Linked DNA regions of Danio rerio. The protein of the gene in region 2 interacts with the protein of the main gene of each other region in a biochemical or structural test. Links are inferred from orthologs where the notes say so. Each region holds a gene or a part of one and is shown on either strand. Other genes may lie near its edges.

Evidence for each region.
Region 1: the proteins of uso1 (region 2) and stx5a form a complex in vitro, tested with the Homo sapiens proteins (2 studies listed by BioGRID). The link is inferred for Danio rerio from reciprocal best matches to the Homo sapiens genes USO1 and STX5.

Annotation. Positions count from the first base shown.
Region 1 is NC_133189.1:9,156,745-9,160,401, reverse strand, and holds part of stx5a (syntaxin-5a), read right to left. Parts: intron 3,449-3,657; coding exon 3,378-3,448; intron 3,191-3,377; coding exon 3,074-3,190; intron 2,884-3,073; coding exon 2,827-2,883; intron 482-2,826; coding exon 400-481; intron 1-399. UniProt on the Homo sapiens protein: Mediates endoplasmic reticulum to Golgi transport.
Region 2 is NC_133176.1:28,145,157-28,148,813, forward strand, and holds part of uso1 (general vesicular transport factor p115), read left to right. Parts: intron 1-521; coding exon 522-640; intron 641-1,314; coding exon 1,315-1,496; intron 1,497-1,718; coding exon 1,719-1,840; intron 1,841-2,197; coding exon 2,198-2,336; intron 2,337-2,468; coding exon 2,469-2,632; intron 2,633-3,657. UniProt on the Homo sapiens protein: General vesicular transport factor required for intercisternal transport in the Golgi stack; it is required for transcytotic fusion and/or subsequent binding of the vesicles to the target membrane.

The sequences.
Region 1 (3,657 bases), on a different chromosome or scaffold from region 2:
TTTTCTTTCACAAAGTCCGCTATGTAAATCGCAAATGCACCATGGCATGACTCTTAAATGTAATGCAAGATGAGACTCTGATTGGTTTAATGCACAATATGCTCAAAACACACCCATAACTAATTAAGAGAATAAGCTCAACCCTGTTAGACCATGCACTGGGGCGCAAAACATATTTTTTCGACCTTAAAATAGCAAAATGTGGGTTCGGACACACCATGCGCTTTAGACTTTGTGCTTGGATCATCAAAATAGAGCCCTAGGAGAGTTGCAAAATAGGCTTATGTTTAAAAAAGTCAAGTTTAAATCTGAACTAACAAAAATTAAAAAAAGAAAAAAAGGTCAAACCTAATAACAACAGAAAAAAACGAACATGACAGTACTGAGGAAAAGACGTACTGAAGTTATTGGCGAGTAAAGGAGAGGCAGAGACAGGAGCCTGAGAGAAATGCTCTCTTCTGCTGCGCTGCTGCTTCAGATTCTGAAGAAAAAGAAGAAAAAAAAAACATTATAATAATTCACTCATTAAATTCAAGTAGTATACAACAGAATACAGCTTGCCTGAAAGCTAAAACAAACATGAGGACAATGATAAGAGATAAATCGGTCAAAGTTTTATTTTTTTCGTTTTTAGTCAGTCTGCCCCGTTTTTTGCTTTCTATTGTTTTTGGCATCTTCACATTGATCATAATTAAAGTGCATTGGCTGCCTCCAATTTGAAATCTAAAAGTTCATTGTGAAAAAGCAAATGGACATCTAGTTTGTGAAGTCATGTTCCCTATTAATCTTTTATTGAGTTAAAAATGCTTTTCAAAAATGGCGACAAGAATTGTCAAAACTAACCATAAGGCTTCTTTTACACTGTGCCTCGCCCTGGTTATCATCATTCTAACCACCACTTTTAACTCCTGGGGACTGCACTATGAAGCTAGATTAGCTGGATAGCCAGTTATGCTTCTGTTTAAATGACACCATGAACATAACAAAGGTAGCTCAGCTGCTCCATAATACCAAAGATTTATTTGAGTCAAGCTGCCTTTATGTTACCTAAAACCCAAGACTGGTGCATCGCTTAGTTGGTTAGCAAACTAATCCATCTTCATGGTACAGGCCCCGAGGTCATGTCGAACCAATAACAAGAAATGAGCATCATGTAACCAGCAGTCAGTGAGAAAAAAGCAAGTAATATTAAAAGATGTAAAGCGTGTAAACTGGAGTGATTAGGAGATGTTCAGATGACAAACTTTGCTTTTTTGTAATTGATGACACGTTAACATACGCCGTGTAAAAGGTTACCTGTTGTTCGTCTAATCAGCAACATTGACAATGCAAATGAAAACATTGGATCGCACTTTATTTTGATGTTCCGTTTGTTGAATTTAAGTTACATTGCATCTACATGCCAACTGATTCTCATTAGATTATAAGTAGACAGTTAGGTCGGGGTTGGGGTTAATGTAAGTTGACATGTACTTGCCATGTTTCCTATAGTCAGTTAAATGTCTGTTGAAGGAGCATATCAACAGATATTAAGCAGACAGTCTACTAATACTAAAATGGACCATCAAAATAAAGTGTTACCAAACATTGACACTGTGTTTAGGACTGTTTAGTGCGAAATGTCTGTTAACGAATACCCCAGATTATTCATTAAAGCCAGGTGTATTAAGAGTAGTGTGAAACTTGATTATAGATAACCCAGGATTCAGTTTATCCAGGATGTAGGATGACTACAGGTTAACGGTTTCAAGCGTAAAAAGCGGTATAGATGCACTGTAAACACTTTTGTATTGTGTAACTAAAGCACAGAATAAACATAAAAAAAAAAACATCACAGAAATGATGACATTATTAAATTATTAAGTGCTACAATTGCCACTTAGCAATGGACCTTTTTCACAAGGATGTTATGACCTATATAATGGTCATCATAAACTGAAATACAGGAATATTTTGACTTTTAAAAAATTATAATACGCAAGTACATTTATATGCATTTCCGCATGTACACAACCTGACAAAAGTCTTGTCGCCTATCCAAGTTTTAGGAACAAGAAATAATAACTTGACTTCTAGTTCTTCTAGTTAATTTTCTACCAGAAGTGGCTTATATAAAATGCAAAGGCCTCTAGATTACGCTTAATTTACCAAAATAAAATATGATCATGCTTTGATTTTTAATCAGTGAATTAGGACAGTAAGTTCCGACTTTGCTTAAACAAAAGACTTGTCACTTAACAGAAATAATGTACAGTATACAATATAAAGCCATGGTTTACTCCATGATGCAGAGGCTGAAGTATGAAAAGGATCGATATCCTGCTGATCTTTCACACATCTCGCTATCTCTCACGCCCCCATACTGAATGTAACCCCAAACCATGATTTTTCCTTCACCAAACTTGACTGATTTCTGTGAGATCAACTAGAAGTTGAGTTATTATTTGTTGCTCTTAATACTGGGATGAACAACAAGACTTTTGTCAGGTAGTGCATTATTTAATCTTTGCATCAAATTACCTCTTGTGCGTTTGTAATGCAGCGTGTATGAGCAGAACAGTAAATTTGACGTTGTTCTCTCTTCTGGCTGCTGTTATCAGTCTCACATAATTTTTTTGCTTATTCTGAAAGTTTTGATAACACCATTGTTGAGTCTTTATTTTATTATTTCAACAAATAGTTTGTTGAAATAATAACCATTCACTGAGCTCTAGGTTTACCCAAATGACGACTTCCGCTACTTAGAAATCCAGAAATATGAATTGAATCCACACAAAAAAAAAGCAAAAAGAAAAAAAAAAGAAATGATAAATACATAAAACTCACCTCTGTTCTCACTTCCAGAACTGACTTGAAATCATTGGACATTGATGCCAGCTTAGACTGCAACACAAACATTCCCAGATAAGACTGTTTACATGGTGAACTGTATTGCGTCAGAAAAATGAAAGGTGTGGCGGCTTGTCAAGTCATCTGATGTCAAGCAAAACGAGATCCACCACCCCTACTGTCTACAGCGCAGGAAATGTAAGATAAACACAGAAAGAGTGGAATGTCAGATAGGAAAGTGTACCTGCAATGAGACGACAATTGTGTTGGAATGTGTCTGTATGTGGCGGCCATTTTGCCCACTGCGGGATCGCACAAGGTCTTGCAGCTGTGCTATCTGCTTATTCAGACTGTTGATATCCTGATGCGAGGGACAGACAGATAAAAAAAGAGACTGCATCAGATCACTGCTAGAGGCTTGATCTTATACAGGATTCTAGTAAACAAAATTATCAACACTTGCCATCTTTAACATCAATGTAAGGACAAGCAGGTACTGAGATGTTTTTCATTGCACTGGATATGGAGAATGACAAGTCTTTACCAACCTGTTTAATGATGTATGTTAGCTCCTCAATCTCCACTGCTTTATCATCAAACAAAGACTTCCTTTTGGCCACTAAAAATGAATGGAGAATAAAACATTACATTGACAGCAGACATGAACAATGCAATATCTAACAGTTACAACAATATCTGGTTATTACAAACAGGTCAACATTACAAAGATTGGATTTTTTTTTTGTTGGTAAATGAATTTATATTTATATATATATATATATATATATATATATATATATATATATATATATATATATATATATATAT
Region 2 (3,657 bases):
CTTTACTGTACTAATCGTATTTCTATGAGAAACTTCACAGTAAATCCACTGAAGTCTATCTACATTTTTTTGTACTTTAAAAGTGATATATAATCTTAGGCCTTAAAACAAAGAAACAAAAATAACAAGACAATCTTTCACATTACTTTTCTTAAAAAGTTACTAAGTAATAATTTAGTTTCTTTTTTTTTAAATAAAAGTGACCTAGGATTTTAAAGACATTTAAAAGCAACTTTAACACTGCTTATTTATTTTAATGATCACTATTTTGTTTAAATTATGCACTGTGTCAGACAAAAAACATAACTATTCCCTGTTAATAACAAACAAAGCGAAAATCAAGAAAACATGTCTAAAAAACTTTATACAAGCAGATGCTATGAAACCTCCACTTGTACAAAGGGAAGACAAATAAATTAACTAAAGATCAAATATACATGTTCGAATGTTCGCTTTTTTTATTTATTATTATTGTTTATTTAGTATTTATTTTGTTTTGTTTCCTTAAATTCTGTGTTCAGTTGACAGGACAAATCTCAGAAAATCTGGGTGAGGATGAGCGACTGGTTCAGGGTCTCTGTGCTCTGTTGTTGGGGATTTGTATCTACTATAACGACAACAGTTTAGAGAACTACACTAAGTATGTTTACTTTCTTGCTTTGTTTCCTTCAACGCTTCCTTTTGTTGACGAGTCTTATGACTAGGGCTGGCAGTTGATTTCAAATTAGTCACAATCAGTCTTATTTTATTTCCTCTTCATTTAGGTAATTAAAGTAGTAATTATTAAATGCTATGTCCTTTAACAGTGTTTAATATAATGATAGAGAACCAAATAAAATGGCAGGTGGTAGAACTTTTACCTTTAAGTAATGAACATGGAGCAATAGAAAGCAAATTTAAAAATATAACTCATTTGCAGAACTAAGCAAAATTTGTTTTGATGTTAAATTGATGTTAAAGAGATGGTTGACCCAAACCTTAAAGTTCTCCCATTATTGACTTTCTTCTGTTGAACAAAAAAGAAGATAATTTAAAGATAGCTGAAGTAAGTTTTTCATACTATGGATGTCAATTTTTTTACTAGTTTTCAGCATTCTTTAAAATGTATTCTTTTGCATTTACCAGAATAAAGAAACTAAAAGTTTGACACCACTTAAATGTGAGTTAATAGTGTGTAAATGTTTATGTTTGGGTGAACTTTCCCCTAAAATATCACATATATTTATAACTACTAAACTTAAAAATGCTCTCTCTCATTATTTACAGTTCTACCTCAAACTCTGTTTAACAAAATATCTTTTTTTCTGTTCACAGAGAAAAGCTGAAGCAGTTGATTGAGAAGCGCATAGGAAAGGAAAACTTTGTGGAGAAATTGGCCTTTATAACGAAACACGAATTATATTCCCGGGCGGCTCAGAAACCTCAGCCAGCCTTTTCCACACCAGAACACATGCTGTTTGATCATGAATTTACCAAACTTGTCAAAGAGTTGGAAGGTAAGTGTCATATTTGAATTTGTTTACCCTTGTGAAGCTGATCTTTTAAGTGGCTAAATGGCTAAATTAAACTCACAAAAGGTTAAAAAAAAAGCCCTTTTAAACAGACATTTTAAACAGCCTTAAAGACACAACACTATGTGAAATTTGACTACTGCAACCCTTTAGGATGGGCCAGAAGGTTTCTATTTTCGTAATCTGGTGCTCTTTGATTGTTCACAGGTATGATAACAAAAGCAGTGCTAAGGTCAAGCGAAGAAGAGAAAAAGGAGGAAGAGGTTAAGAAAACACTAGAGCAACATGACAGCATTGTAACCCAATACAAAGAGTTGATCAGAGAACAGGTAAAAATGCACCAAACAATTCAATATCCTATTCACTCATTGAAAATTGAAATAAGTGTCACTGAGTGTTATTAGAAGACTTGTTTCTATAAATATTCTATAAGTAATCATGCTGTGAGTTTATTAAATGATTATTTCTTTGAGTATTTGATTGTCGTCTGTAAGCTGATACACTTAACCATATTGAAATGCAATTTTTCTGTATTAAAAGCAATATAGGTCTTAAGAAAATGGGTTTCTCCTTATTAAACAGTGCTTTCTCCTTCATCTGCAAGCTTTCTGGAAGAGGATTTCTAAAAAAAAAAAAAAACAGGCATACTTTGTTAAACCTCCCTCTTTATCCCTCTTTAATTGCAGGATTCTCAGATAAACGAGCTGAAAAAACAAGTGACTGCTCTTACATCCCAGACTGAAAATTTGGAGAGCACCATAACACAACAGCTTTCTCAGATCCAGCAGCACAAAGATCAGTACAACATCCTCAAACTTAAACTAGGTACCGAGCAAACATCAGATAAATGTCCATTGAATTAGAAGTGTTTAAATAGAAATCCATAGTATGTGGCTCTTAAACCAATTTTAACAGAATCACTGTAACGTATGTTCACTCCTTCTTCACATTGTGCAGGTAAAGATACGCAGCAGGCAGGTAATCAGGCAGAGGCAGCTCATGTCAATGGCCTCCAGCCAGAAGAGCTAAGTCAGCTCAGAGAACGACTCGAGGAAGTGCAAAGACAAAACCAGCTATTGCAGACACAACTGACTGAGAAGGACTCTCTAATAACCAGCCTGGTATGTGTGTGTCTGTTTCCTGAAATAGATTTTTTTATATATATGGCTATAATGTATGTTACCCTAATATGAAACCATTTGCATTTTTATTCATGCATTTAGCATTTAAAAAAAAAAAAAAATACAATTAAACTGGGGGCGTCTTGGCTGACACGTCTCTACAATATCACATGGTGGTCGGGGACAGTGCCTCTGTACTGGGCAATTGGGGTGGTGGTTCCCATTTTTATGAAGGGGGACCAGAGGGTGGACTTGTTTCCAGTGCATTTTGGACTCCAGTAGGGCTGTCCTTTGAAATTCTGTCCATAAAAATTATGAACGGAATTGCTGACAGAGCGTAGCCTTGGGCTGGAGGGGGTACGGTTCGAGGACCATTGGATCTCATCTCTGTTAATCACAGATGATGTTGTTCTGTTGGCTTCATCGAACATGGGCCTTCAGGATGCACTTTGGCAGTTTGCTGCCGAATGTGATGCGGCTTGGATTATAATGAGCACCCTCAAGGCCACGAAGCTCCACCGGAAAAAGGTGGTTTGCCATCTCCAGGTTGATCTTACCCCAGGTGGAGTTCAAATATCTTGGGGTTTTGTTCACGAATGAGGGAAGGATGGAGCGTGAGATTGACAGGCGGATTGGTGCAGCGGCAGCAGTAATGTGGTCGATGTACCGGTCCGTTGTGGTAAAAAAGGAGCTGAGCTGAAATGCAAAGCTTTCGATTTACCGGTCAACCTACATTCCTACTCTCACCTATGGTCATGAGCTTTGGGTCATAACCGAAAGCACAAGATCTTGGATCCAAGCGCCCGAAATGAGTTTCCCTCGCAGGGTGGCAGGCCACACCCATATAGATAGGGTGAGGAGCTATGTCACCCGGGAGGAGCTCAGAGTAGAGCCGCTGCTCCTCCACATTGAGAGAAGTCAACTGAGGTGGCTCGGGCATCTGTTTCGGATGTCTCCTGGATGCCTACCTAGCGAGGTGTTCCAGGCAGAAGAACTAGTCTGAGGTTCTCTCCTAAGACTAATGC